4 linked regions of the Lepisosteus oculatus genome follow. The protein of the gene in region 1 interacts with the protein of each later gene in a pairwise test. Links are inferred from orthologs where the notes say so. Each region holds a gene or a part of one and is shown on either strand. Other genes may lie near its edges.

What was found.
Region 2: the proteins of traf3ip1 (region 1) and waca interact in a two-hybrid assay, tested with the Homo sapiens proteins (2 studies listed by BioGRID and IntAct). The link is inferred for Lepisosteus oculatus from reciprocal best matches to the Homo sapiens genes TRAF3IP1 and WAC.
Region 3: the proteins of traf3ip1 (region 1) and frmd4a interact in a two-hybrid assay, tested with the Homo sapiens proteins (2 studies listed by BioGRID and IntAct). The link is inferred for Lepisosteus oculatus from reciprocal best matches to the Homo sapiens genes TRAF3IP1 and FRMD4A.
Region 4: the proteins of traf3ip1 (region 1) and olfm1b interact in a two-hybrid assay, tested with the Homo sapiens proteins (2 studies listed by BioGRID and IntAct). The link is inferred for Lepisosteus oculatus from reciprocal best matches to the Homo sapiens genes TRAF3IP1 and OLFM1.

The regions. Positions count from the first base shown.
Region 1 is NC_090707.1:21,567,410-21,575,137, forward strand, and holds the start of traf3ip1 (TRAF3-interacting protein 1), read left to right. Parts: upstream 1-4,201; 5' UTR 4,202-4,334; coding exon 4,335-4,457; intron 4,458-7,066; coding exon 7,067-7,135; intron 7,136-7,728.
Region 2 is NC_090701.1:40,362,394-40,370,761, forward strand, and holds the start of waca (WW domain-containing adapter protein with coiled-coil), read right to left. Parts: upstream 3,270-8,368; 5' UTR 3,023-3,269; coding exon 2,982-3,022; intron 2,784-2,981; coding exon 2,750-2,783; intron 1,914-2,749; coding exon 1,721-1,913; intron 1-1,720.
Region 3 is NC_090702.1:14,365,827-14,373,572, reverse strand, and holds the start of frmd4a (FERM domain-containing protein 4A), read left to right. Parts: upstream 1-4,644; 5' UTR 4,645-5,082; coding exon 5,083-5,241; intron 5,242-7,746. UniProt on the Homo sapiens protein: Scaffolding protein that regulates epithelial cell polarity by connecting ARF6 activation with the PAR3 complex. Plays a redundant role with FRMD4B in epithelial polarization. May regulate MAPT secretion by activating ARF6-signaling.
Region 4 is NC_090719.1:6,022,558-6,031,202, reverse strand, and holds the start of olfm1b (olfactomedin 1b), read left to right. Parts: upstream 1-5,045; 5' UTR 5,046-6,211; coding exon 6,212-6,361; intron 6,362-8,645. UniProt on the Homo sapiens protein: Contributes to the regulation of axonal growth in the embryonic and adult central nervous system by inhibiting interactions between RTN4R and LINGO1. Inhibits RTN4R-mediated axon growth cone collapse.

The sequences.
Region 1 (7,728 bases):
ACATCAGAAATATCAGTCCCATGTAATACTGCTTGCACTTCCACAATCTTGTCTTTTAGCATTCCTGTTTCAGGACTAACCTGTTCTAGGAGGAGATTCAACACAATTGTTTTAAGAGAGAATCTCTTCCTACTGTATTTCTAGCACAAAGTGTGAGCGTTTTACAAATGTAATACTTTAGTTTTCGTTTTGTTATAATTGATCTCATATAATAGAATGACACAACAGTATTTGAGAAAAGTAAAAAATGTCCTTAAGTTGCATGTTTCCCCTTTACATCAGATCTGTCCACCCTCTAATGTTTTCCATCTATTTGTTTCTGTTTTGGTTTCCAATAGGGTTGGTTTATATTTTTCTATACTGACGTTTTGACAGCTACTGTATAGCAAATATAGAATTACTTTCCTGGGGGAATGTCACAGCAAAATTCTGAATTAGTGATGGTTTCTTTATCTCATGTGGACTAGCTTGATTTAGAACACTTGTCTCCAGTTTGTGGGGATTACAAAGAGCTGTTATTTATTAAGTTTAACTCTTCTTCAATTTAATAATTCCCTTCTTTACTCAATTATTATTATTAATCACTTATTTATTTATTTTTTTGCTATATCTAATGCTGACAATTAGTCAAATATATTTGTAAAACCAATTCTATGATAATCCTGGTTGACTAGAGATGAGTAATACTGCTTTTAAGTATTCTACAAGAATATTTACCAAGCAGATAAATCTGTTTCAAAGATTGAACTTTTTCAATCACCTAGATACAGTACGAAAGAGCCAAGTTTCGTTCTTACCTGTTGCTGTCTTGAAATGTGAGTGAATGTTCGTTGAATTCTTACCTCACAAGCCTTCTTTTTATAGTCATCTAACTCATCTAACAGGTGTAGCAAAGCTTGAACGTCAGGCATAACAAACCAGGATATCCTTATCTTTGAAACACACTATTCAAACACGCCTCAGGGTAGGGAAGTACTTACAGTACATAAATGCTTATACTGCACCTTTAAACCCAATTTTAATCCCATTGATTTTAATCATAGGTGGAGAAAGGCTTCTTCATAATATATTTTTACTGTTCTGTATTTTTTTAACAGAAATGATTCAATCTTTTAATCTAAATTAAATTTTTTAAGTACCACTCATTTTAAACCTACCTGTGGTTGTAGGAAACCACAGGGAATGAATCTATGTTTTGAACCTAGTTTTGAACGCTGAAATTAAATTACATCTTTGGCATTCAGGTATTCAGGAAAATTAATGAGAAAGATCTAACTATCAATGTATTTAGTGACTTACTTTTTTATTAAAAACAATAATTTATTCAATGTTTTTTTCTCATTATTCATCTACATTTAAGAAGCAAAATATGATGACACAAACAAGATACTAGAAATTTTCATGAACCACAATAACAATACTTCTGAATTTTATGCTTGAAGACCTGTATTAAAGTACATCTTGGTACAGCACCAAAGTACAAGATGAGACTCACTCTGTAGTATATGTTTTACTTTTTTTATGGAATTATTGTCCTTTTGTAGCTAAGATTTTTTAAAAATCAATACCTGGTTTTAAGGTATGTTATTGATTAACTTTTTATTAAATCATTTCACTTTTATTCAATTTTGGCATGAAAGAGAGAGAAAAAGCAATCAACGTGCTTCTGTTTATTAACTGATTCCACTATTTCTATTTCTCACTTTTTTTTATTCCTGACGTCCTTGTGTTAACAAGCTAGTGATCTTTTGGCATTCGTTTTTTTGTAATTTATTATTTTAAAAACAAAAATATCATTATATACAGTACTTCATAACCCAGCATTTTTTCCATATTCCCATCCTGTTATGTGATTGAAAGCACGCCTAGACAAAACACAGTGCTACTTAGTGGTACACAGTTTCAGAAACCATAAATCTTTTTCAGAAAAAGCATTAAACAAAAAAGAAAGAAAATGTACAGCAAATAGAACAAAAAGTACACATTTCACGAAGAAAACGGTGTGTTTCATAATCCCCTGAATGCAACAAGACCTTAATTGCTTAGTATACCCTAACCACTCAGAGATGTGCACATCAGCTATAGCAAGCTCCCCAACTGTAAGCACGCTTTTCATCTGTTCCCTTGGGTGTGTCCAACCAAGTCATCTTGACGCACACCTGATAAAGACCTATTCAACTATATTCACCTACTGTATGTTCTTTTATTGAAACAATTTACTAAGTAGTATTATAAACTATATGCTATGAATGAACATTTTTATCACTGTGTCTTTCACAGGGTTTAACTATTTTCTAATCAATTTAAACTTAATAATAACAACATGTGCTTAAATTGGCATAGACCTTTTCCTTCCAAGAAATCCCGAGTGCTTTTCACAGAGAAGGGGCCCACTTCATCCATCACTGACCTGCACCACCCACCTGGGTGACACTTTGCTGCCCCTATGCGCAAACAGCCCCTGTACATAAAAGTGTTAATTTTTATGCAGCCATCTCACTTCACAGTTATTATGAATTAGGCACTTTATTTAATGAAAAATGATGTTTTCCGAGATCCACAATACTTTATAAAGCGTTCATTCTAGATTTTACTTCTGATATTACAGTAGGTGTTAAGTATTCTTTATTCATATGAAAATGAATTTAAAAATTATATGGGATCAGTAAAAGCAATAATCTAGTTATGAAGATTTCTAACTTCCTGGATCCCCGTACAGAAGAACAAACAAGCTTCCACACTTAATCATCTTAAAAGTGAAAGATAAACTAAATGGTTCACCAGACATTCCTGTTTCAGGGTATATCCTTGTTACTACCTTAAGAAACTCTTATGTTTAAAGTTAGGAGTGGCTGCAGGATCTCTGCATTAAAGCACATTAATGGTGATGTGCTGCTTACTTTCAAAGTAGTTTACATAAATTGCTTGAGGGGTTATTGAAGATTTTGTGTAGAGAAATTGGAGTAATGTTTCCATTGATGGAATCTAGAGAACATGAAGAAGTTTAATCTGTAAAGATTGCTCTTGTAAAAAGCACAGTTTTGTTAGAGTTAAATGGGGAGAGATAAATATCCAATGTGTAATTATGAACTGTTAAGTTATGTTTTTTTAAATGTTGGTTAACAAAGCAAATGAGAAAAAAAACCAAGGTGATTCTAATTCTATATAATTGTGGTTATAGTTGCAGTATATTTTTCTATAAAAGCTTTTTTTAGCTACTAATACTAAGGTTTTCACAAAAGAAAGAATACAGAACAAAATATTAGAACTTGAAATACATATTCTATACTGGACAATTAATGCGTCAATCATTTTTATACATTATATATGGGACTTTTTAGATTATAGATTTTAACTTGATATTGTTTAAGCTTTCTTCTATATAAATTTCCTTTACAAACATGCAAACTCATTAATTAGATGGGGGTAATTGATTGATTGATTGATTAGTTTTTAAAATGTTTTGAAAGAAAAATGCAAACAAGTTTCAAGTTTTAAAAATGGTTTCCTTATTTTCCATCTCATTCTTCACAGACACCTTTAGGTTACAGTTTATCTATACTTCCTAATTTTAGATAAAGGTACAAAAAACTATGGCTTTGTGTTAGTGCTAGAGCAATTATTTTACTTTAGAATTATTTACTTCAAACTTGGTTTTATTTCCTTTTCTGTTATTAATCTCCTACAGTACATTTTATATAAGGATTTTTGCTACATGAATAACAAAAACTCTTATCCCATATGGTAAAAATTCAAATGATGTCTATAACTCAGATTAAGGGGTGTTGATTTTTTTTCCTCATCAGGAATTCTTGATAACTTATTTGGCACAAGAACATATAAAGATCAAGTTCAAACTCATACAGGGATTTTGTCAGTGCTAACAGCTTTAGTTGTTCATTAACTTTCCATTACTGTAAATTCAGTGAAACGTTCTAGTAATAATTGAATTAAAACAGTGTTAAAACATTGATCAATAGCAATAACTTAAAAATAAGAATGAAATAAACCATGAACATTTAATTAATTTTTCAGCTATAAATGCCCTGCAGATATTTTGGTTTTTAGAAAAGGACCTCAAACGATCCAATTCTAAGAGCCTTTGGAATTCTTTGCATTTCAGTTGTTACTTGTTGCTAAGGATGCAAGCCTCGCTTGACAACCATACGTCACTTGCGCAGGCGCAGCTAGGTTTAGCGATGCATTGTGGGATCGGAAGATACCGACGTACTGAAAGCCCAGTGATTGCAGAATTTATGTGGTGAAGTGTTTCTTTCGGTTCGTCTTCACCTAAAGGACTTTTGTTTTGGCGTTTGTCTTGCTTTGCTGCTGCTATGAACGCGTCAGTGACCAAGAAGACCCAAGATACCTTGGGAAAAGTGATTAAGAAGCCGCCTCTTACTGAAAAACTGCTTAGTAAACCGCCGTTCCGCTACCTGCATGATATATTCACCGAGGTGAGAAACAGAACTGCAATGACTGACAACGGGAAAAATTGGATTTGTTGAAATATCCGTGGCTTGTTTGCAAGGAGGAGTTTCTCTGGTCTGTGTGTGTTTGTTTCGGAGTAGTGCATTTCAGTGGGACTAAGTTTGGGGTGAGGCTGTTCAGGAATAAAGAGTAGTAAAGGCTCAGCTGCAGAAAATTTAAAAAATGCAGTTAAGTTCTCTGATGTAACCTAAATAACTGTATTTTTTTAAAAAACGGACAATAGTCGGTTTCAGTGTAAATGCTGTAAAGGGTATGCGGTGAACACCTGAACTGTCTGAATGATGTAGAATCGAACTGGCGTCTTCTGGTTGCTAGGCACTGGTCTCTGCTCAAGTACACTAAACAATGCGAGGCCTTGATGAGTTATTTAAATACAGGACCGTAAAATACAAATATACCTCATCATTTTCTGCCCGGTGTTTGATTCCGTCACGCTACCCTTTATTTAAAAAAAAAGTTTTCTGTTCCATAGCAGTTGGTTTTAATCCCGTAATGTGTCCCCACAGAGGACACATTACATTAATCGCTGTCCTGCTGTGTCATGAAAATGGTAGCTAAATAATTTGTGCTGTTTTATTGTGCCAGTGTCGCTAATTAATATTACTGAGGTGTTAGCAAAACGATTATTTTACTTTGTGTCGCTCAAATCCAGTATATAATTATTACTGATAATTCAAACAATTTGGTCTAGCAAAGCATTATTTTATTAGGAGCAACATCTGTACAGAGATTAATGCTTTTACCCTTTACATCTTTCAAGAAATGGCTAGATAAATCCTTGAATGAATTAATTCTTTAATTAGCAAATGGGTTAGATGAACCAGAAGGACTTATATCGTTTGTAACTTTTCTTATGTCTAGCTGTTTCTTAAAAGCGCTCAATATTTTAACCTTAACCTGAAAAGGTTGTTCCACAAGCCAACAACATTTGTGTTAAGAAGTGTTTCTTGTTTTCCATTCTCAATGAATTCCCTGTGTCCTTATTTTAATACTGAGAAAGAATTTCCTGGCTTAACCCTTGACATTTTATATACAGCATTTTATAATTGCATCTTCTCTCAATCTCTGCTCCCTACATTATTGTATAATAAAGCCCTGATTGTAGGAATTATTCTTAGAAAGACTTTAAAAACTAAATGCAATTGTAAAGTGAGGTCCTTGTAGTGCATTTAAAAAAAATAAGTAGATATTTTCTTAAATTCTGCACTTTTTAATATAAAACCAAGGATTCAATTTGCTTTTTTATTGTTTTATCAACTTTGTTTTATTAAGTCATTGCTTAGAAGTGTCTACATTAAAAACCCCTTCATGTGTAGCTCCCGACAGTTCACCTGTATGATATACAGTATGTAGTATACGATCCTATTACTGTAGCAGTGTGAATAACTGCACTTATTTTAAATTTGATTTGCTGTGTATCTGTTTACCCCATGATTTTGTCTCTTCGTATTTCTTTTGCTACTGTGTCTATATTTGCTGCTCTCTCTGTTTTTGTATCATTGTTCATCAAGTTTATGGTCGTGATAATATTAAGTCTGCTTTGGTAGTACGTCATGGTAAAACTGTGCTACTGTTGTATTACCATGGCTAATTCTAAAATGTTCACAGGTTAATACGCGACTTGTGGTGTCTTCATATTTATGAATAATTAGCATCTTGCCAATCATTAAGGTCTTCAAATCATCATCATTCATCGTTAAATGATCACAAATGTCTTCCTGAAACTCTTTGCTATTTTTTGCTCTGTTTCACAATGTGGAACAGTGACCCTATCATTGTTTGAATTTGAGAAACAAAATCAGTGATGTTAATTGCGGAATATTTTAATTATTGAAAAATTACATGAGCAGGGGATTCAGAGAGCCTGTTCAAAGAGTTGCTTTGTTGCGTGATAGAAGTAAAGCCAGATGACTCGTCTTAAAAATAGCAGATTGAAGCAAGGCCCAGCTAAGATTATCCTGGGAGGCTGAGCTTGTATGAAGAACTTAAAAAATTAGGAATGACATTGTATGCAGCATACGTTAAGTGGGAAGAAGGAGATTATTGATCTGCCAAGAGTATAACATATAACGTATATTAGACACACTTGTGAACAATGCAGTTTACTTTTCAAGAACTGTAAAATGATGTATGCATGGAACACAGTCCCAGATTTTTGTTCTTGTTCTCAATCATCTGGATTTTAGAAAAATTTTTACCCTTTCCCTAAACAACATGTTTTGTATAGGCAGTCCCAGGCCTGTAGTCTGCATAGAACAGAGAACCTGTGGCATGTGCTGGTTATTTTGTGCACATTTGGTGACAAACGTGCTCAGTGTTTGTGACATTTTCAAACTTTTTTGGTAGGGTTAGGGGAGTCAAATGAAAGTAAACTCATGTAATATAAATTTGAAATTGTACATTTCAAATTACATAAGACAGTCCGCTAATAATATAACCTGTATGATCTTCAAAGCTTGATCTCTTTTATTATTTATTCATTCATTTGGTTTATAATCAATGATCCAAAATCCTAACATTCTGGAACCGGCTTCATTTTATAATTGGACAACTGTATCCATCCTGTTTTTCACAGGTAATAAGGACCACTGGGTTTATGAAAGGCCTTTATTCGGAGGTAGAAACGAAATCAGACAATGTCAAGGTAAGGTGGTCTTATTAACCTTAGCTTTCACATTAGTTCAGGAACATTATTAACAGAAATAAATTGCAGTTATCAGTACTTATTTATTCATTCAGAACACCCCCAAACTATTTTTATTGCATTAGATCTTTTCTTTAAATAAAGCAACTTCAGTGTAACTTATTTTATGCAGTGATTAAATGGGGAATAATAAAAAAGTCTGCACTAAAGGGAAAAACTGCTGTGGTAAGCGATCATGCCTGACATCAGTTGCAACATTCACAGCTAATGCATATTGCAGACTGAAACGTTATTAAATATTTAATATTATGAACACAACTGTAGAGGTTATAGAGTTCATAAATTGAATATAGAGTTCATGTGACATATTGTACTTAATGTGGCATATGCTCTGCTTTGACAGTTTATTAAATGTATGTAATTAATATGTAATTGAATTTTACTGCTTGCTGTAGTATTACATTTTTAAACATTCAAGAGACTGCACAGTATAATATTAATATCGAAATAAATCCAGAAGTTCATTGATCTCATATAACATTAAGCAATTTTCATTTGTATTACAAATGTAGCCAGAAATCTCGCATTTTTGG
Region 2 (8,368 bases), on another chromosome or scaffold:
GTTAGAACCACAATGTTAAAAGTGAGAGGTCTGCAATTTTACGGATGTGATGCTGACTACTTTATACAGTAGAATATAATCTACATTCAAAAACACTATTCAAGTTTGTTTCTAATAGACAATTTGTTCTGGAAAACCACCCGTCTTGAATTGATTTCATTTTGTTTCACTCAGTTTCCTTGTTTAGTGCGTGTCATCCAACAAAAAAGGAACTTTGTGAGCATTCTTGTGTGATCTTCAATCTCCAGAGTTTTAAGTGTCAATTTAAAGTGTTGTGAAAAGAGCATGTTTTAGGAGATTCAAAGTCAAAAACACTAAGAAAGGAAAAATATCTAGGTATGAAAGTCTGGTTTGTTTAGTCTCTTTAGATTGCCAATTTTGAACGCATAAATTAAAATACTAACCAAAAAAGTTAAAAGATTAACCACTGATAAAACTTCAGAACATCCAGAGATGTTTGCAAGTTATTGTCAGGTATATCTAATGTATGGCAAAAAAAATCCTGAACACACTATAGAATGGCTACTGATCTTAACTACTCAAAATAAAAGTAGCTTTGAACTGAAGGACAACATTAAACAAAAACATAAGAATAACACCCAAACCATAATCATGCACACCAACATGCAACAGGTACATATAGGTCTTGTTTGAGAAGTTAGAAATCAACCTTATTCAGGATGTTCTGCTACTAAAATCCAGTGTGATTTAATTCAGGACCACCCCCCTCTAATGCCTACACTACATTTTGTTGTTCCCCCTTCAATTTTTATCAAAATCAAACATCTGAAAATATCTACACATTTTGTAACAAAATACAAGTTTCCTTACCCCGCTATCCCAGGAAACAGTACTAAAAGAAGAACCGCACTATACCTGAACCTGCTGAACTGTTTTGTTTTGACCAGGTCCAGCAACTGATCTGCCTACACTCACCAAAAATGTTACACTATGCCCTGAACAAAATGATCAAGAAAGTTATGTTTATGTTCATGTATGAGTCAAATGCTCTCCTATCATTTGTAATTGCTCTTGGGGTTCTTTTTATTCATACAGCTCACTCGTATACAAGGTGGTTTTATAATATCTATGGTAAGATAGCCTGACAGTAACAATTTTGAAAGGGAAAATAGCAGAACTTAGTTGTACACACATCTTCTTTACTGCCAGAACAGGCTAAGGCTGAAATAGGTCAAAACCTGAAAGTCTTGGTGACGCCACTAATGAAGTGATATGTGTGATACAGCAACTTTTCTCAAGCAGTTCAAAAACTGACAGCTGCTTACTTCAATTTCAGATCACATTCATATTTCTGTCCTCCTGATGATCACACACCAAATGCTGCCGTGCAGATGCAAAACAGTGAGCAGCCGCCTCCTTGGAACGTGGTCAGACCGCACTGTCAGCGGTCTGCCCAATGACAACACTGCGAGCCATCATAAACTCATTGACGAGCTCTCTGTCACTTAAGCATTTTGGTGAAAAGTCGCACCTTCTCTAACCCCTCTGGGGATGAAACACCGGGCAGATCACCCAGCCTCAGAGAAGCTTGTGTGATGAAAGACCACCACGTTTCTGCACTGCGTGGTGGAAGGTGTTCTAAACGTGAAAACTGATAACTCTTCAACAGGACTGCATGTTCTTTGCGCATTGTTTTTTTTTTTACTCTAGGAAAAGGCCTAACCCATGAGGCAACCTGCGACTTGGACTGGAGCCTTACCTCCGTCTCTCTCTCTGACCCGGTGTGCGTGCACTGCTTTCGCCTTGTTGTGGCCCATGTTGTCGCCGTGCTTGTTTTCGGGACTGTCGGACCGGCGGAGCATCTTGCAGGGCGGTGTGGGGTCGGCTGAATCTCGCATCTTCTCATGACGGTGGTCACCGCCGGGGTGACTCTTTGATGGGTATTTAAGAGTCTGGAAAATGTAAAATTCAACAGTTCTTAAAGCACTACGACAGCAAAAAAAAAAGTTTGCAACCCCTGCTTTCCGTCCACACCAGGCTATGGCACTAACTTGGCTGGCGGAAATGAATGACATTGTCGTCGTCTATGACAGCTGTGAAAACACCAGAGGAAAAACCCCGATAGATAAACAATATTCCATTGACTACGTACTTATTACGGTTTTTGTTTTCGTTGGGAGGCAAACAGTAAGCCTAGTGGACACTTAAAATATGCGTGTCCTAGACGTTTAAGTTATATATGCAAGTTTTTTTCGAAGACATTGTACAACATTCGACGAAACCACCATCTCCAGCCTATAAAAGTTTCCAGTGTCCTGAATACGTCAAGTACGTTGAAATTAATTCTATATTGTTTTGAGAAGTATGACAGCACACACGGAATAAAACCCCGTCCGTGAGCAGACAGACTACCGTTTACTCACGAATAAAATGTGCTACAAACTGCCTTAGGAGTTCAACGAGGAACTTCTGATCATTTCAGCATTTCGGGTTCAAGAGGAAATCTTTCATTTTGGACGGATCATCTGCCTTCATCTTTGCCACACGGGCCTTGCACAAAACGAAAATTTCGAAGAATTCAATTTCACTGAAATTCGACGTTTAAAATCGTCGACGTCCCCTATCGATCATAAAGTACACTTATATTGCCAGCAAGACCCTTTTTTGCGCATCTTCGTGTCGAATTTCCTACTTTTCGTTTGTATTTTCCGCACCGAGGCCTGTAGGTGCTCCAAAAGCCTGCGCTAGAGTATCCCCCCCATCTTAATCTTGTTTCTGTTTCTTATACCTGATAGGGTTGGGAATCCCTTCGGTCGTTACACCTAGAAAAAAAAAAGAGAAAGAAAATCATTAAATAGCTACCAACTGGAGCACAGATGTCCGTATGCACAAAATATAAAAAGCAGAAACAGCTTCCGTAAGTTTCTACTTATTTTGGTTTACAACAAAAATGGCGGATTTGTCAAAGCGGAGAAGGAAAGGGAGGAAAAAAACTGAATAAAAAATATTCAGCTGTTTACCCATCACTGAGTCTCGGTTGTTTCCTTGCATACATTACCATCAATGCCGTGTGTGTGTGAGTGGAGTGGATGTGAAAGATAAACTAGTTATTCGCTTTGTTTTGCTTTTTTTGTTGTTTGTTTTACTCGTCCCGATCCCTGCTATTATTTCAATAGTTCTGGGTATGTGAGTTGCTTTAAGGCTGCGCTAATCGGAAGAGCGCCCTCGGTCCATCTCCCACTCGCACACAGCGGACTGAACCTCTATCTGCGAGACAGCCGAGCTCAGCCCACAGCCCCGCCTCCCCTCCCGCAACTACATCCGGGACACTCGGCGCGGCGACTCGGCTGCGCTCGGGCAGGCACTTCCGGGAGCCGAGGGCTGTGCTGACAGGAGCGCGGTGGGTGTTACCGGCTCGGCAGGCTCTTCGCGTCTTCGGACTTGAGCTGTGCTGCTGTTATCGCGCACATCTCTTCGCCTCGGAGTTTCGTGCCGACAGTCCTGCCTATGGCCTGTGTTTTCATAAACACCAATGTTGTGATTTCTTGCCCTTTTCTTTTACTTCCGGTGCAATATAACCGGCAGATGTTTTCTGCAGTGTAGCTATAAAGTAAGCATGGGCGATGTCTCTAAGTTTCAGTTCTTTGCGTTGTAAAATATTATTACCAGGTTCTGGGGGGAACTGTTTCCTTGTATTGTACGATTTCCGGCTCTAAACTACTGTATGTAGAGGAAATCCTCTTCATTTAATAAACGTATTTCATGTGTCTAAGAATAAGAGAGTCAGGATAATTAGCTCGTTAAAAACTCAGTACCTCGATTAAAATGGTACCTGCAGAAGTGACGATTTAACAAAGAATTGTAAGAAATTAAACGGTTACAATTCGCAGGTTTGCCTGCGAATATGTCCACGGGGTTGTGATTGTACAATAATAATGCTGTTAACGTTCATGGAGCACATTCTTTAGTTCAAGAAATGGTTTAATAGTGAACTTCACCTACCGCGCCATCTGGTGGACCGACACAGCATGAAGCGTGACTAGTGTGTCAGGAGAGCAAGCCTCGCTTTAACCTGCTAGGTTCCATTTTGAAACGCATGTTGTGCAGTAGGGTTTAAAAATGTGCAAATTTTAAGGACTGGCTAATGGTGTTATATTATCATGAGAAAAATGTATTTGAGAACATGCATGTCTTGACTCATCACAATCTCGAGGTCTCAGCTCCTGGGAGATGCTAAGTGCTGCCACATGCTTAAATGGGTCTGAGTAGAATCTGCCACAAAAATCTTGAAACTCCTCCAACAAGAGGAGGCCAGTCAGCCCATCAAGGTCATTTCAATGCAGGTGGGTGATTTTCCCAAGAATCCCATCTCGCCATTTCCTGATGGAAACCACGCTATCGGCTTCAAACCCGAGCCGGGGACTCGCATGGCCTTTGGAGTAGAGAAGTTTGTTCTGTTCCCAGTTGTCAAAGAACTTCCCCCTCTGGGGCGTTTCTTTCTGGATTCTTAAGAAATCGTAGCCCTTTATCCTCATCCCAGTGCCTTTGAGGCTTTTGAATACTCGAGTCGCGTCTCCCTGCAGCATCCGTTGCTCAAGACTAAAATGATTCCCTTTCTTTAACCTGTCAATGCAAGACATTCCTCTTGCCTATCCTCAGGCTGCTTCCAAAATGGAGGCTAAAGCTGTACACAATTTTCAAAATGACGGTCTTACCCAGTGCATTCTTGTCCCTCTTGCTTTTGCTGTTTGCTGAGTGAATCAAGGTTATCCTTCTAAGTCAGGAGTGGGATGTTCTATACAGGCTATACAGGTCAAGACTGAGCTCAAAGCGTGTCAAATGTTGCACGACTGTGCAGCCTGTTGGAGGATTTCCCATCTCACCGGGGGTTTCCAAATGTGGAAAGTAAATAAAAATAATCTTACATTTCACATTTGTCTGGCTATCTAAATCATATACATCATCTCCCAAAACTTTGTATTCTAGAGGGTAGTTTGACATGATTTAGGAATGCGAACACCTGCTTATCCTTTCCACAGATCTGTACTCTTGCTCCTCCTGAAATTACCGAACCGTGTCACAGAGCGTGACGTGGTGACCTCTGGCGCAGACACGAGAGACGTGAAAAAATATGCACTCCCAATAAAGACAACAAGGAAAGCCAGATCTGTTCAAACCATTAGGTGTTCTGACATAGAGTTTTGTGGGTTTCATTCTCTGAAGTCCGCTTGACCGCTGAACTAACTCTTACGTCATGGTCATGACGCAGCGTAGTGTTTTCAGGAGCAAATGCCCTTCAAACTTATTTATCGTAAGAAAATCATTTCAGCTGTCTAAGAGCTTTTCAGAATAGGAGGTCAGCTGTATGTCCTCAGTTAACCCATAGGTACTTGACAATACTGTTTGTTATTTACAAAATGAGACACCATAGGCAGGGACTGATTTCTTTTATAAGGCACTGTAACTTTGGTAGGAGCTCTGAGTAAGAAATAAATTCTAACGAAATAAAAAAGGAAATCAATGTGTGTCTTCCAGTCCCTCTGCAGTGACAGCCAGCAGCCATATCACCCTGCAACTCACAACTGGCAACCCACTGAAGCTAAGCAGGTGTGAGCCTGGTCACTACCTGGATGGGAGACCTCCTGGGAAAAAGGTTGCTGCTGGAAGAGGTGTTAGTGGGGCCAGCAGGGGGCGCTCACTCTGTAGTCCATGTGGGTCCTAATGCCCCAGTATAGTGATGGAGACACTGTACTGTAAACAGGCGCTGTCCTTCAGATGAGATGTAAAACCGAGGTCCTGACTCTCTGTGGTCATTGAAAATCCCAGGGCGTTTCTTGAAAAGAGTAGGGGTGGCATCCTGGCCAAATTTCCCTTACCAATAATAATAATAATGATTGGTAAGGGAGCCTCCTAATAATCCTCCTCTATGAATTGGCTTCATTACTCTACTCTACTCTGAAGCACTATGGCTGCAGTCACATCATCCAGGTTGATGCTATACACTGGTGGTGGAGGGGAGTCCCCATTACCTGTATAGCGCTTTGAGTGGAGTGTCCAGAAAAGTTATTATCTCATTGTCCACGCAGGTTCCCCTGCTCAGTCACAGTTTTTGGTTTTCCTTCTTTGCACATTAAGATCTCCCACAATTTTCAGCAGCTGTAAAAAGAGAATTTGTTTGAGACCTGAATACAAATCACATATAAATAGATGGTCATCTGCATAGACTGCAAAACATGCTCAAATTTGATCTGTAAAAATTATAACATCCCCTCACATCAATTCCTTAATTTAATTTCATAATTGAATCAATTCTATTATTAGAGTTGTTTAGAGGGGTTAGTCTTTAAGGCTCCAACTGACAGCTTTAGTGTTCCAGTCTTTTGGTGGCCTGCTTGCTAATATACTGAGAATTGAAACAATATTATCAATTTGTGCATGTATGGTTCTGAAAAACAATTTCTACAGATATTGGATATTGCTGAACGGTTTTTGGCACAGCTGTGATGAACTGATTGTTCATGACTGACTGTGACACACTCGAATTGTCACCTCGTTGTGGACTGGACACAGGTGATGAGGTATGTTTTGCTTTGATTTGCCGAACAAATCAAGACCTGCACAAGAAAGGGAGCAGTGACTAAGAGCCATCAGTATGTAGGAGGCTGGCGTAGAGAGCACATGGTTACTTGCTCTGTGCAGAACTCACAGAAAGCAGCTTCTAACCAAGGAATATGGTCTGTCAGTGACAGGCTGTGATCTGAAAGACCACAAGTCTCCCGTGGAAATGAGAGGTGTTATTCCTAGTGTAAAATCCTGGGTTCGGTATAGGGTTTCAGGCATTCGTGTGAAGGAAAACAGAGCTTTCACTGGCCGATTATCAAACTTTATCGATAAAAAACAAACTAGCCAACACAGCACGAGCCTGCATTCTTTCCTCAGCTGTCCACACCACACTTTTCCCTCTTTGTCAGAGATTAAATAAAACTTCACTCGCACCAAACAAATTACCACACACTGAACACTGAACATGTTAACCCAAATATGTCTCACACAGTCTCTTGATACCTTGATACTGAGTGGACAATTGCTAATGTTTTTCAGGATGAGTGTGACAGTCAATATAATAAGACTAATAGGTCTAACTTCTGTTACATGCAAGATTATGTAAACAATAAAGTAAGAAACAAACTAAAGGATCATATAGAAAGTGATGTGAAACAGAAAGTGCACCCTCTTACAATTCAATGGTTTTACATAATAAGACATTTTTGTCCTTTGTGTAGTCCTCACCAAGTCCTACCAGTAGAGAAATCGATCCTCACGTGACAGATAACACACACAAATTTTACTTTGTCATTATTTATTAACAAAAAAACAGGCAACATTCAGTAGCCTTGTGTGAAAAAGTAAGTGCACCTGTGGTTCAGTAACATGTGGAACCACCTTTAGCAGCAGTAACTTGAAGTAAATGTTCCCTGTAAAAGTTTATCAGTCTTTCACTTTGTCTGGGGAAAACCTGTGGCCCACTCCTTCATACACAACTGCTTCAGCTTGCTGATGTCTGAGGACATTCATTTATGCACAGCTCTTTTCAGGTCCCTTAATGGGGCTGTGGTCTGGTCTTGTACTTGGCCGTTCCAAAATCCTATTCAGTCATAGATTTACTGGTGTATTTTAGTTCATTGTCCTGTTGCATGATCCACTTCCGGTTATGCTTTAGCTGTTGAAGAGATGGTCTCACATTTTCACTTAGAATGCAATGGGATAGAGAGGAATTCATAGTGGACTCAATGTTTGTGAGGTGTCCAGTTCCTACGGCTACAAAGCAGGCCCAAATCAACAGCCTTCCACCACCATGCTTGACAGTAGGTATGAGATCCTTGTGGTGATACTCAGTGCTTGGTTTTCACCAAACATGTCATTTTGCATTACAGCCACACAACTCCACTTCGGTGTCAGCTGTCCAGAGGACATTGTTCCAGATGTCTTGTGGTTCATTCAGGTGCTGTTATGGAGACCTACACCTTGCAGCAATGTTCTTTTGGGAGACAAGGGGCTTTCTCCTGGCTGCTCTTCCATGAAAGCCATTCTTGTTCAGTCTTTTCCTAATGGTAGAATCATGAACTCTAACAGTTCAGTTCAGTTCAGTTTCTTGTCATATGCACAAGTGCAGTGAATTATCGTGTCATGTCATTTGCCAAATCGCTTTCTACCATACGGTGTCGTTGGAAGCCAGAGCCTACCCGACAAGCAGTGAGCGCAAGGCAGGGTGCACCCTGGACAGGGCGCTAGTCCATCGCAGGGCAAGTGCAAGCCAATCATACATGAGGACAATTTGGAGGCCACTGCTTTTTTGCATATATGGTCCAATACAAAGACATTAAAGGAATCACCAAAAACATAAACA
Region 3 (7,746 bases), on another chromosome or scaffold:
CAGTTGTGAATGTAATGCTTGTAAAGTTGAGGAATGTATAGGACAAGCAGAAATGTTCTTCTACCCAGCCAACAAAGATATTAGCACAGATCAGTCCTAAGATTATACCAGTGGTACTGGTAGTAGAAAAGATTGATAGAAAAGGCACTCAGGGTGAGTATATATTCTGGTCTGATAAAAATGTAAACTGGCAGATCCTGTACTGTACATTTGTTGAAGGTATGTCCGAGAGCTTAAAGGGAACCATGGTGTGGAGAGATATGATGCCCATGATGAAGATAAAGCATTCTTGTTCCTGAAATCTTACAATTGTGATTGCGGTTTAGTGTCTTTTATTTATAAATCAACAAGCATTACTATTTTTAACCTATGAGGAAATACAGTAGCATTTCACAATAAATATGAATAGAAGTGTTGTTGAGCAGTTACAGGGAGACATGATTGAGAATCCAAATGTGTTGGAATTCTGGGTCTCGAAATGCCTGTGGGTGTTCAACAATAATATTGTTGGCCTCAGAATCAAATTTCCATTTTGAATAAACAGAGAAGTTATGAACACAAACTCCTTTTGGCAGTAGATGGATGGATCTTGTGAAAGGGGCTAACATGCAGAAGAGTTAGTAATGTGTCTTGAAGTTTCAGCCATATACAGAACTGTACAGGTCAGAGCAATGAAGTTCAAAGACCTCTCCACAGTGATAGTCCACCATTATGCCTCTCCCAATTACAATAACGCTGACCTCTCAGTCTGTGTTCTTTCACAGGTATCCAGAGACTCATGTGCTAGAAATATATCAGAAGCCAAAATAATTATTACTCTTGGTACACACAAGCCACCAGCCCTCAGCTATTAACTATTCTAATTTTCATTTTCACAGTTCATTTACAGATTGCTGGCTTTTGTACCTCCCACTGCAATCAATCTCACATTCTCACATTTCCTTTTAATTATGCCTCTTTTACCCATCCTTATCCATTCTCACCTATTCTGACACTCACTTGCCCCATCTCACCTCTCCCTCATATCTCTGCTCTTAATTTGTCCTGTACAGAGGAAGAAACAGGTCTTTGGTCTTCTATATTCTGTAATCTGTCTGTGCTACTGACAATCTGTTGCCAGAACTCTAGGTTTTTTTATTTGCATTCAATATATACATCTTTATAATTATTAGAAGTTCAAATGCAATTTTTTTAAGATATTGCATTTTGAGATACTATTTCCAAACACCATTCCTGCTGAAAATAAATGTGCAAAATCCACTCTCAGTGGTTTCTACAGGAAAGCAAAGAGACAGAGGAGTGCTATAGGGTTCTGGGAGTTGTTAGGTGCTGCCAGATGATACAAGTTGTACTCTGCCTAATATTGGTGAAACCATAGACTGTTTTGTACAGTATATCTCTCTCAGTGAGATTTAACTGTGGGAACTGACACTTGGCTATAATTCTAAAACCCTGTATAACTAGTGTGAGAAACTACTATACAGTGTCTCAAGATGAAAACACTTCCTAATTTGACCATATATACTGTACACTTATGTAACATTATTTGGTGGATTTTAGTTTAAGATTCAAAGCTTTATTTACGGAGGCTTTTCTTTTTCAATAGCTGTATGTACACCACTGCTTTTGCAATAGGGATTTATTTATGTGAAGCCATCCGGCTCTTTCACAAGGAACTTTTAAAATTAATAGAATGAATTGTCTTCAGGTGCCTAAAGGCTTTGCCAATCATAAATATACACATGATGTCTGTATCAGTTGAACAAAAAAATGTATTTTTCATTATTTTTAACTTAAATTTCAACTAGGTTTTGCAGTTGAAATAGAGAAACACAGAATGGAGTGTGCTCATTATATCATATTTAAATATATGATTAAATTAATGACAATTTAATTTATGATTTAATTAGATTGTATTCATTTTTTTTATCATTCTTTTTAAATAATTCATTCCTTTCAGAGGTTGTTAAAATAAAAAACTAGACTTCTGCACTGGAAAACTTTCACACCAGGTCACTGAATTCCATGAACTTTCCCAGGGTTCTATGAGGAACTTATATACACAGAGCCCTGGGAACATCTTTAAATACCAAATATTTGCACGTTCCCTAAAAGACACTCGGCAGCAGTAGCATTTCTGCAAATGTTAATAATGTACAGCCACTACTCGCAAAGAATATAATTCAGAAAAACTGTATTGCACCCTAAAATACCTTGATTACCTGCAATTATATTTTTGCTTCTAATCTTTCTTATGATAACCTCATGTGAACAAAAGTAGAGCAAAAATGAAGAAGTAATGAATATATAATCTCATCATAGTTAATAATAATAACATAATAATAATAATAATAATAATAATAGTGTTGTAACTCCATTTTCTGTGGGAAAGTGCAATGCAAGATGTTTTAAGAAAACATAGGAAAGGTTATAACATATTTTGACAATTTTTGGTAGATTTTCTTGCTAATTGATCTGATTTTTACTAAAAAAAAACTAACTTGTTTGAGAAAATTAGCACTTTGACCACTCCAAAGCAGGTAGTTTTGTCTGTGCTTTAGAAAATAAATTAACCCAATTTTAAAATCACAGGTAGGTCTTTCTTATTGTATATCTATGATTATGTGTAACTATTGTGCACGATCTGGAAATAGCCAGCTTGGGTGTGTACAGTACATGTGCTGTTGTATAATTGGAACTGGGGTGTGTGAGGAGGTTGATTTTGAAATTGTAGCAGTGGCAAAATACCATCTTACTTTGGCTACAACTCAGAGGAACGACAAAAAATAAAATATAATCCTGTTGAGCCAGTTGCAAAATAATTAATAGACCTAATGGAACAATATTAATCATTTGATGACTGTTATTACATGATCATGGAAATTAAGCAATTAAGCAGAGCAAAGAGAATCTGGAGACATGGTATAAGTGGGGAGCTGTTTCAGTCTGAAAGTTGTAAAAGAACAAGTAGAGTTCAATTCCACACTGAAAAGTAAAAAGAAAAAAGAAAATAACTTTTAAATTCCCAGCTCCAACTACTTCCCATCATAATGCTAGTACAAACATTTTTTAATAGGGTGTTTACAGTTACAAGCAGTTAGTGGTCGAAGGTTATTTTTGCATTTTTCCAAAGATACAGTGTTCAAGCACAAGGTTAAAGCTGAGTTTGATGCCTAAAAGTCCTTATAGGTGGCCCCACATCAATACCCACAATAAATCTGCCACTTGTAAAGATGCATTTAATCAGCAATGCATGTGCTTAAGTACATTGATCTTACTTTGTATTGATTTTGGGTTTTGTTTTCTGCAGAAGTGCAGAAAAATACAGAGTATTTCTGATAATTAAACTGGCAAGTGATGAACACCCCTTGTTCAGAAATATACTCTGATTATCTAAGGCTTTTTTGATTGAGGTTCATAAAACAAGCACCTCAAGTATGTTAAAGTTTAAAGTATGTTAAAATGTGTCAATTTTTTGTAGTTTGACAAAATAACAAGCTTATAATGCCTAATTCAAGTGCTATCATTAACAACAAACAAATATCAGCTTCCCAATTGGAGTATGGAAAACGTATGTAGCTAGAATAATTTGAGATGTGCCCTGCATGAGTGATTTCAGACCAGAAACACAGGGCTGGAGATAGTCATTTTAAAAGTCTGCATACATTAAGAATGCACTTTGACTTTGTGTGCTTTTAGTTGTGCATGTTTTCAAGGACGTTTAGTAGTAATAGTTAAGGACAAACATTCCTCATTTGTATTACAAACTGCTGAGCATGATACAATGCTAGCAGGACCAATTAAGAACTAAAAGCAGTTATTTCCCGCAGATTAGTTGGTATGCAGCCTTAAATGTTCTCAGGCAGACATCAGGAAAGGGACAATTAAGATGGAATTGGGAAAACATAATTTATTGCGAGGGACCTGGGAGCAGTCATTCTGATAGGAAATTTGACCAGGAGTTACATGTTATAGTTTTCATATAGGTCAATGTAATATGTACAAGTTATTTGTAAGTATGTCTGCTTTTTTAAAATTACAGAACAGTTTAATACTTCAGTTATGTAGTAAGTGCAAAATTGCTGACATATTTTAGTTGCGATAGAAAATATTGTCATTTGCCATCGAAATTATAGTGTCTTCATGTAAAATGCTACTGACTCAGGCCTCTGTCAAAAGACTCTATGGCGTTAGCTGTTGGCATGATGGCAATCCTACATATTTTCAGCTGTTCGATCACAAGAATGTGAACATACAGATTGGATGCCTCATTTAGGAATTCTTGGAAGTCTTTTTAGCTGTTAACCCTTCAGCAGTTAATGTGACTTGCAACTTCTGAAACAGGCTACAGAGGAGTGTTTTCTTTAACAGCTCACAAGCCTCCCTAAAACTTGACTGCCTGTCAGCTTACCCAGATAACCTTCTGGATTTTTTTTGCTCTAAATGGCCATCTTTTTTTCGAGTGGGTAACCTTCTGTATTTGTGGGGTTGACAGGGTTAAACAGAAAAACAGAATGTCCTGGGAATGTTGGCACTGAGGCAAAGGGCTTTTTTTAAGACTCTGGACAAGCTCCCAGCAGAGACTAGTAAACCCCCACAAGATGCTAAGTTTGTTCCTCTGTTGCCTTTTAGAAAGTCAGGAAGGGGAGATAGTGTATCACGTAGCTGCGGCATTGTGCGTGAGGACATCTGATTATCTTCAGAGGCAGAAGACACTACTGTACCTCGCCTACTCCCAGATGGATTTCACATTTATCTGAAGATTTATCTCAGAGGGATTATACTATTCAGCACAAAATAAACACTCCAAAAAGTTTCTATTGGCTCAGAATATTCCTTTGTGGATATTTTAGTACTTTTTGCGTGTTATTCCAAATTTGTCTTTCTGCAGATGGAATAGAGGAAAACTCAGGAGGCACATGTTTCAGCTGCGTGGGAGAGAGGTTACTTGGGGTTGCTCTGAATTTTACCAGGTCCCTGTGTGTTTTTAAAGGGAACTTTTCTGAAAAGCATCAAGTGTAAGATATGCTGTACCTGTGAAAGTTACCTGGCTGTCAACAATACCTTGACTATCAAGTTGCAATGGAGGCTGTGTTAATTGGCTTTGAAGAGATCTTCTTTAATAGAGATGGCCTCCTATGGAATTTGACTTCTCAAGCTTTCAGAAGGTGGCGGATTATGAACCTACGGGCCTTGCATCTGATGTTCCGGTCAAGATGTGTTTCAAGAACAGTGTACCAGGTGGGCACAAAATATCTCAACAGGCATTCAAACATTTTAGCAATAAATTAGAATAAGAGCTAATGTGATGTGAGGTGAGACTTCAAATAGTGGACTCTCATTCTGGAACAGATGTTCAAAGTTTTTAAATTATGAGGATGTTTTTCATTTGGAGTTAGATATTAAAGCATTTAGGTTTCCTGGCTCTTAACCACAATTCTTCCCAAAAGACTGATAAATGGTTAACTTCCTTCTTCAGTGTAATATATTAATGAAAAAAAGTTATGGTTTGGCTAAGATTATTTCCTGTGCTAGTTCAGAATATGAACATGTCTTGCAATGTTGCCATGACTATTTCAACAGACTTCTTCACTGCAGCATGTCCAAGTACATCGTATAACAAAAGACTACTGTTTTTAATAAAGACATCTTTATTTCTGCCTGTTCAGGTGTCCTGCATGGCTCACTGATTTCTAAACTTAATAGAAATGGCCAATGAAAGGTCACCGAAAACCAAAATGGTATTTAAATTCCATTTAAAAAAAATACCTCTGTAAAATGTAATATTATTCATACTCAGACAAGTGGACTGTTTTATTCTTTCAGACTGCTGTTTTCATCAAAGTCATTTTCAATCAAATATCCATACAGAAAGCTACCCCCTTAACTCTGAAACCCAGTCACAATGGAAAGAAACAAATACATATTTATGTGGTTTTTAAGGTTCACAAATGTAGAATTGAATATAGGGAATTTTGCATGCAAGCTTAAGTTGTGTTTTGTACTGGGAGAACTTTCAAAGTGGTTTGCCTTGTGTGTGCAGATGAAGATAATATACCATTGAATAATTAACACTATCCATCTCAGTTGTGGTGTCGTAGATGGTACATAGAGTAGCTGGAGAAGATGCCACTAGTTGTCTTAGTTCAACAGGGTCAGAAGCAGGTAGCAGACAGGTCTATTGACTCTTTAATTTGCAGAGATTAGTTATCGTCATTACATTCTGATTTGCTATCACTGTCCATAACTATGTCCGCGAGAGCTCCATGTGAAGTAATAAGACCTGCCTGTGTTTTCATCATGAAGTCTGACAGCCAAGACTCACGAGACAGTGGCTGATTTGTATGCGCCGAACAATCTGATTCCAGTCTCTCGGTGCGTGATTATTGCATTTGTGAAGCAGGCAAAGTGGAGAGGGAAAGAAATGAAGTCTCAGAAATGAAGTCCCAGATTTCACAATGGGAAAAGACAAACGCTCTGATTTGGAGGTTATTATTTTTTAGATGTTTTTTGCCTTGACTTTCACCAAAAATTAAAAAAACATACAACTTGTAGAGATGTCCCTCCTTTACATGCAACAGTAATAGATTATTACTTCTTCAGTGAAGTGTATTATGTGAGTATATGATTCATGAAGAGCTGTCCTGGTTATGTATGTAGACCTGTTACAGTGAGGCAAAACAATGTAAAGTGTTAATTTGGAGTTATCTATTTAGAGTAAAATATCTTTACTAACTCCAAAAAAAAAACATATGAATTCATACGAATAGCTTTAATAATAAATTCATTAGGAATGTAAATTACAAAATATCTTGAAGTACTGTAGATATTTAAAAAAATAACTCAGCCGTCTAAGTCATAGATCTCAACAACTGTTATTTCTATATGGCAAGACCTGTGTAATTAAAGGATGTTTCTCGTGGATTGTTTTCAAGTGCAAGTGTTTTACTGTAGGGTGTGTACTCACAAAGAGAGGAAGCAGAAATTATCCTCAGTATGGGTAGAGACCTAATCAAGGGAAGGGTCAGGGCTTCAGTCTCTGAGACAGGGAAAATCCAAGGCTTCAAGCATATTTTAACAGACCAGTTTCCTTTATTAGGCTGTTTAATGTAACTTCCAGCTCTCAGTTGTTGGCACAGACTGTGTAGTTCACAGGCTTTATAGCATTGGCTCAGCTATCTCAAAAATATGTTGTCTGGCATTGAACACTTGTCTGCACCCGAGCCCAAGAGACATGCTTTACATACATATCCTCTAACACAAATCCAAATTCCCTTCATAATCTGCAGATATTCATTACTGCCCAGTCATTTTCCTTTTTTAAAAATGGATATACATCCAGGTTTTTAATTCCCTCTAGAATACACTTATCTTCTTCCTCAACATTCTCCTAATTAGCATTCTACTGTTTTCTACAGACATAAAAACGAGTAAAAAGCAGTACTGGTTACCTTTAAAACTGGCTACAAGTTTTAAATAAGCTTACCATTCCCATTAAATATTAAACTGTATATAAGAAGTGGTGACATTGTAATACAACTCAGTTTTTTCTTAATTCTCCAATATCCATCAAATCCATTTTTACACCCTAGACGTGATGCCAGACTATTGCAGGGTACACATACACACTCTTACATCAGGACCAGTTTTTCCATAAGAAAGTTAACCTATTAATATGGCTTTGGACTGTGTGAGGAAACTGGAGGACCTGATGGAAACCCTTGTGAGCACAGGGAGAACATACAA
Region 4 (8,645 bases), on another chromosome or scaffold:
AACACTCTGTCCTTACCTATTGATTAACTTGCATTTAGTCACTGTAACCCCTGTAACCCCTGAGAAAGGCATGCATTATTTGACTTAATCTCAATTACAATGTGTAAACTGAAAGCAGCAATATTAAGCATATACTGTATACTGTAACTAACAGAACTGATTTACTGTATGTTTGTATGTATAGTAGACAAATTACACAATGGATTAGATGTTTGGTTGCAAATAAGTATCATCATCATCTTTAAAAAAAATCTATTTATTCTTAATTAATTCCTAGCCTGCTTCACAGTCTACTTAAGTTTAATTCTTACAACATAACTTTACTGCTTAAAGTACTTTGTTGACCAGGGTTTGTGTTTTTAGATATTAACTCAAAAGTCAAAATAAATAGTATAGCATGTTTTTAATAGACTATATTGGTATCAAAATATTCAAATAGATGAGTTTAGAGATGTTTAAAAAAACATGAGAGTGTAAGTCAAATTAGAACTGTACATTTCTTTACATGTACAGTATATTACTGGACACCTATAGCAAATTGTTGCCCTAGATTATATGGTTTATATTTTTACAAAATCATTAATTTATTGAACATTGTTTCAAAACAACTGTCAAAGTAAAAAAAAAAAAAAAATAATTAAAAGAATTCAATGCAGAAGTAAGGCTGAGACATGACTTTCTTCTCCCAGTAGACCACATTAAAGTTAAGGATTTAAAAGGAGGGATCAATCTTAGACCTCCTCATTAAAGGACAGTTGAAAATAATAGGAGTAATATGTGGAATTTGTAATTTTTTACAGCCACCCATTTTTTCTTGTTTGAAACGTTTCATTTAGCTGACCTACTTAAAACAGCAAATTGTGAAAGCTGATTTTCCAAACATTGATGGAAACAGTACTGCATCATAATTAGAGTTAATATTAATTAATATTAATTGAAGTGAAAAATAAAGTATTTTTTGCTGTACTGTTGTAAAATAAATCTTCACAGGAAAAAATGAATTTACAGTTTTCTTTGACACCATTGTTTCGCTGAAGAAATACATTTTAAAAGCCCCAGAGTATTTTGAAATCTTCTTTTCTCCTCTGCTAAAAATATTGTTATTTGGAGGCTTTGAGACTGTCAGATTCTGACAGATTTACTGCTGATTCACATTACAATTAAATCTGTCAGAATCTGAAGTGCTGGCACCCAGTATTTGGTATCTTAATAGTAACTACATTATACTCACTGCTTATAATGAAACTTAAGCTCTTTGTGTTTTTTATATCAGAATTAACGAGCCACTCTTTTTAGGGGAAGGCCAAAAAACTGTTTCATGAACATGAATATGTACAGTATATGTTCATTACGTGGTACTGAATACACAATTAGTTCATATTAGTGTTACTCTTAAAATACTCAATATATTTAAAAAGATGTAAAAACCTTTCAGTGGTGCAATGATGCCATTTCTTTCAAATTAATTACTTAGTCTGAAATCCTGATGGATTTCCATAAAGGTACTGTAACAATCTGGGGTTCACGGGGGTATGCCCCCTCGCCGCTGCCGCCTCAGGTCGGTCCCCCCACCGTCGGGGACTCGAACCTGGGCCTCCAGCATCACTCAACAGGGACCCAGCCACTTGAGCTAAAGGGAAATCTCCCGTCAGCCCGACGGCTGCAGTCCCTGCTATTCACAGGGAAGAGCAGTGACATCACCGCGCTGGTAAGCCGGCTAGAACAACCTGCAATGGTGGCCGTATGCGATACAGTACCTAATACTGTTTCTTACAGTCTTCAATAGCAATTCTCATTCATTTGTGTCATCTCTTTACGCAAGAGAATTGTCTGAAATCACTGAAAACAAATTATCTCTAATAAGTAGATTGTTGTCAGAATAAATAGATGATTTCTATCCCAGATATTAATATCATCATACTTGGTAGAAAACCACAGGTATGTAGACATACCAGAAATTTCAGTGAAGTTTAAATCCCTTGTCTCAAAGTCATTAACACTGTTATTCTGTAAGTAACAAAAAGAGGTTAAATAATGTACAGAATCTCAAGTATTTTATCATCACTTTCATATACAGTATGACATGCTCCCTACAATTAACTTATTTTTTTACAGGTCCACTTTTAAAATACCTCCCATCATCACAAACAATTATGTACCTCGAGGGTAAATTCTATGTTTTTATTTTTGTACTGCAAAGAAATAAATATATAAATATGAATTAAGTTTATTTGGTATCAGTTTCATAACAAAGACAGTTAATTGTAATTCTCCGGGCTTTGTGCTGTTTGTTTCAATGGGACCTGAGGGGAGGTGTTTAAAAATTTAACACCCCATGCTCTGTCATTAATCAAATGCAGACAGGTAGCTATTTATCAAATCATTTTACTTTGATGTGCAAATTACATTACATTTCATTTAAAGCAAAATCAGTCTGCATTTGAAAAAATAATAAATAATAGTCATGGGTCATTTGATGTTTTTGGCAGCACAAGGATTTTATTAAGGTGCATCTGAAAGCAAGAGCACTTAAAGGCTTTGGCTACTGTCATTTGAAATCAAGGCTGATGAAATCCTGGCTGCCCTCTGATTACAGGGATTTGGGAAACATAGATTTAGTTTTGTTGCAGAGCAGTTATGAAGACTCAAAATGACTCTTTAATTGGAGGTACTGTTGAATTGCTGCAGTGATTTAATATTTACAAAACTTGTGCTACTTATCAAAGGTTTGTCACATTTTTCTCCCATTCCTTATAATACAGATAAGAATAAAAAGAGGTAGGTTATAATGAAAACCACAAATATTATATACTAACAGGACAAACAATACACCTAATCCTGTTCTACAGCTCTACTTTTTCCTTCGTCATGTAGTCTTGTCTGGAGTTTGTGTACATTTTCTCCAAGTGCTCTGGTTTCTTCTCATCTCCCAGTGATGTGCAGGTTTCTTCTGAATGGCTACTTTGCATTGTTCTTTTCTCCAATACCCTTTAATAGACACATTCCATTTAAGGAGAGAGTGGATGTTTGCGCTCAATCAGTCTATGCTTCTTGGAGAGATTCATGGTAACAACAGTCTTCACAAGGTTAGGAGGCTTTCTAATGATGGGTGTAGCCTTCTCATTTTCTGGAAAAAGCCATTTTATAATAATGTACACATAAAGACTATTTATTTATTGTTTATATGTGTGTTTATAAAGGGAAACGCAAATTCCGAAGTGGGATGCAATGTCACTTTTGTTGTTGTTGTTGTTGTTGTTGTTGTTGTTGATGTTGTTGTTAAGCCCCATAATCAATATGATTGTTCTGCCTTTCAGCTTCTTATTGAAATTGTAGAATTCCTTCAAGAAATGCAAACAAATAATCTTAATCATTGAGGAGTGTGCACAATGTTTTAATGTAATTCAAGACTTTTCTTTCCTGTTTAAACTAACCAGCAAAAGTGTTCAGTCATTATTGAACTTAAGGACTGCGTTCAAGTCAGGGTGTCTCCTCCATCTTACTTACAGGACCAGGGTGTTTTCCATTTATTTAATATGTTCTAATTTTGAGAATTATTGAACATATAGAGTATCAACTGCTCCATGGCATTGGAAGGTCATATCCATTCAAGAACTAGACTATATTAGATCTATCTATACTAGACATTCAAAAACTAGACTATAACTAGATATCTGAGCAGGACAAAAAGTCATAATCCTGAATGTATAGCTCAATCTAAAAAATATGAAAACTGTCTACAGAACAGTAGAGACCCTAAAACCACATAGGGGTGTTAAACACTATGTAAGAAAACTAATACAATGTTAGTTTTACTGGAAATTTTAGTTCTGAGAATTTTATTAAACATTACTTTTCAGGGACTCCTCAGAATGTCCCAATTCTGTTACAGGGCTTGATTTTCATTTAATCTACAAGAACATAAAAAATACTTGAAGCTTAGTGATATATTATTGGCCCATGATAAATGCAGGATTACTTGTATGATTTTTACTTTCTCATAAAAAAGGAACTTTTGTGTTAAGAATAAAAATGTATTGGTAGAGAAATAACAATCAAATGATATGCTATTAGATGCCTAAGGGATAAAAGAAATAATTGTACATAAATAGATAATATAATGTGACCTACTTTTTTAGTTTCTGCTGGATACAGCCTGGTGTATGTACTGTACTAATTTTTCTTTTATTAAAGGCACCAGTACCCAGTAATATCTCAGATATTATCTTTACTTTCTATGCTACAATGTGGAGCCTAGGATTATGGAGCCCTGGTTCCATAAAGTGTATGATATAAAAAAATTAGCAGAATATGTTATACCTAACGCAAATCATTGGATTACGAAATGCCAGGATACATGAGTTTGGTTAAATATAATAAAATTGACCACAAAGAGGTATGTTGAACAATGCGAATGTCCATTTTTACATTTTTGCCAAAAGAAACGTATAATGCATTTATATCGTTGATATTGTTGAATAATGACACCTACAGTGTCAGGAGATCTAGATCTTTACTGTAACTGGGATATTACTTTTTTCGAATTCCTGGTGGCCAACGTCACCATCCTCGTTTTAGAAATATTCTTTTGGTGGTTTTGTGTAAGTAGATATACAATAACATTAAACAGTGTTCATAATGTTTAATTTATATTACATTTTTATTTACATTGTGCTCGAGCATGAGGTCGATACGATGGAAATAAGAGTGACTTCGGTTTGGCCGGCTTGCATTGAATAATTTGAATAGGCATTAAACCAAACAAATAACCCGAACTCTTTGAATATTAATTATTTCATTAGTCTATAAACAAAAACTCTATATATGTAGATATGTTCTTTTTTGTTAAAGTGTTGCACAGTAACAGCAAAGATACATATGCTGAAATACACATACACGACACGTACCTACAACAAATTTTGTAAAGAGCATTTTTCCTTACAAGAATACAAAGCAAGAACAAAACTTTAATGCAGATCAAAATCAATTTAAATACACGAAGTTTAAAGAATGCAGACCATCAACCTGAATTGTTTTGTTTCAAGTACAGTTCATGTTATGATATGGGACAGACAACAGTCAATGAGTCAGAGAATACTTCTGCAATAACCTCAGTTTGCTACAAGGGGGCGACGGAATCCTTCCATTTCAAATGTCTACAAACTATTGCATAATAAGAAGTCCTCTACCGCAGCGAAGCAGAGAAACAGATCACAAAGGTTCGGTATTAAGGTAGTAATTTATTACCTGTCGCCACAGCAATTCCATACATTAAAATAATTGGGCACTTCCAAAATACCGGAAGCAGATTTGAAGGTTGTGAATTTTGTAAGTACAAAGGAAAATAATCTGTAACGCATTTTCTCATTTTAAAGACGTGATTGATACATAAATAGAACGTAACAGAGATTCCGTCAAATCTTTATGACTCGAGTTTAGTGTTTAATTAAGTTCGTGAAGAAAATATTTTAGCGTTTAAACGTACTTTACTGCAACAGTAGAGACTGTGAAAATATAGGTGAATTTGGAATAGGTTATGCTATTGAAATGAACAGTTCAATTTTCAAGTGGATGAAATGTGGTTTTCACTTGGAGTAATTCAACGCTTAGCATCTAGAAACCAACAAAGCACTACAACGTGGGCATGCGTGCTCTTTGTAATTCACAGGAGAGGGATCCAAGGCAATAAAATCCAATTTAAAAGCACAGGCAGCAGCTCCCCAGTGGCAACAGGAGGGCGTCTCATAAGCAAACCAAACCTGACATCACATTGCGCTCCGTTACATAGATCCTCCTTACCTCCTCCCCCTTATCCATTTCGAACAGCCTGTAGTCACTTTCACACTTTCTCAACAGCGTATTAGACAGGGGCGGATCAAGGGTTTAATTGAAAAGAAAGGGCTAGCGTGAGAGCTTTTAGACCAGTGCAGGGAAAGGAGCGAAGGAAGATACTCAGCTATATTTCTGTTTAATCAGTAGCGGTGGTGCAGAACAGCATCTCAGTGTTACCTCAATAACAGAGCACTAGTGCTGCTCTTCGAAAAGACAGAAAAACCTCCTTCGCATCATTGATCAACGATGTCCAAGGCAAGAACCTCCACGCCAGGCACACGGGTGTTGCACCAAGCGTTTACAGGCAGGATGGATTGCCAACAATGTTTTTCGCTGGAATGTTTAGAATGAAGGTTTTTGTGAGACGTACAAAGCAGCGATGTCGGTGCCTTTACTCAAAATTGGGGTTGTGCTCAGCACCATGGCAATGATCACCAACTGGATGTCGCAGACCCTGCCATCCCTGGTTGGGCTCAATACCACCAAGCTAACGGCAGCGCCAGGGGGAAGCTTGGACCGAAGCACAGGAGTAAGTCAGGCATTAGCTAATTGTAATAAGTATAAATTGAATATTTGCATGCCGCCTTCCACTCACAAAAATGCACGATTGAATTAAATTATAACGGCGCATGTGTAATAATGGAAGAGAAAAACATTTTAAACTTTTTTTTGTTCTTTTGCACGACCCGTTTCACAGTAACTTTAATGCAATGTGCTGGAGGATTTAACAAAATATTTTTTTTTCCCCATCGTAGTCCTCTTTAATCAATGGAAAGGGAATCCATATACATCAATTCGAGCGAACACTGAGATTTAGTAAGATTTCCAAGAGTTTTTGTTCAGTCATCTATTATTTCAGCTTTCTCGTAGCTTGCTTGCACCGCGGTGTGCTGCAGTTTCAGTCTGCAGCGCACCATAGACCCGCGCTGTAGTTGTAAGAAGGGCACAGAAAGGGCACCTACAGTACTCGTAAAGATTGATTGCGTTATAAGAGAGGCTGAGCAAGGGCACATTAAACCACAGGGGTTCAGCTTGCAGGATTTAAAGACGCCGCCCTTCTTTTTCATCATATATTCCATTTTGAGTTAATTGTATGCTTTTTTTGTATTTCATATTGCACACTATCTCAATAATCTATCAAGAAATCTGCACACTTCCCTAGGGAAATTTAGTGAACATTTTCCGCTGCTGCAAATGTTTTTTAGAAGCTGTGGATTCCATTTATCAGTGTATTTCACAGATATTTCACTTTCGTAATGTTTTATGCTTAAGATTCACTTAATCAGATAACTCTTTTTTAACAGATTCCGATTGCACCAATTTACAAATAAAATGTGAACCGTTCAAAAATAACAAATATGTACTTCCTTAGTGAGTAATCAAAACACGCAATAGCGGAATCTCTAAAATGGATCGAGGTGGATTAAACACTATAGTTCCCATTCCATTTTTTGTGTAACTTTCTTCAAATTGCGTGTTGTGCTGTATTAAATTTGCCATTACCTTGTACGACGTCATTTTGTAAGACACCCGTCGTCGTCCACTTACTTTTTGACTCCTTACATCGACTAAACCATCAATACAGATTAAATCGGCGATCAACAATTTATTTAGAACACTTAATACTCTAATCTATAATTTTGCCTCAGGAAGAATTGAGGTTCCGTTACTGTACATCTGCTGTCAGTATTCTGGAAAGCAGTTGATCCACGGGCATATTTTCATTCACCTAGTGCTAATTTCTCTACTAGTCATTGTCTTTCGATTTAAAGGAAGCAACAAAACCAACTCAGTTATGCTTCCAATAATGCCTTATGTGTATAGCACTATTCTGAAGACATTATGGGGGGATGTGCTTTTGATTTAAAAATCACAAAGAATTTCCTTCGTAAAGAAAATAGAGGAAATATTTTAAAATTAAAATGAGTCTATCAAAAGGCATTGAAACATTTTTGCTAGAATTGTTTTGAAGAGAACTTCAATCATAGTCTACAGATGCCTATTGTTGTTAAATAAATTTGATATATAATACTATTGTATTAAAGGTTCCTTCAGTATGTCTGTCTTTCCTCTAAGGCAAATAGAAGCCTCACCATTTCATTTTGTCTAACCAATCTTTTTCAGTCAGTAAATTACATGTACTGTAATTACATGTCCTGTAATACAACAGATCAGATTTTTTTAATGGTTTGTACTAAAGTTGTGTATTTGTAGTTCTGTGGCATCATCATTTTTATATAATGATAAAAAGGGGAATGTTGATGCTATTATAGAGATACTGTAAAAGGAGCCTAAAACTCAACTACTTATGATACAAATTCTTAAAAAGCATATATGGAAATATGAAAGATCAATAAATGTTTTCATGTCCATTGTCCTTCATTTCATTGATCCACCTTAAATTCAATCCCTGCCTATGCTTCCATTACTGCAAAATCCCCTGATATATATTCTAAATCAAGCTTTGGTGTGTCAGGATGCAGTTGTAACATTACATCATCTTCTTTGTTTACAGAATCATTTCTGTGGAATATACACGTATGGGTTTCTGGTCTCATTAAAACTGTTTTATCCACTAAGCCATCCATTAGGGCTCAATGCAAAATCAAAAACAGGATCCATGAATGTCCAATGATTTAAGGCATAAATGTGTGTTTCTTATGAAACAATAGTTCTGTTCCCTCCAAGTGCACACCCTGTATTCACTCCCTCGTGTCAAAGAATACCACTGATGTTTTCAGCACAGTCTGAAACAAACTTTACACAATAATCGTAAATATGTTCTCTGATCTAAAGTTTTAATTATTTTATTT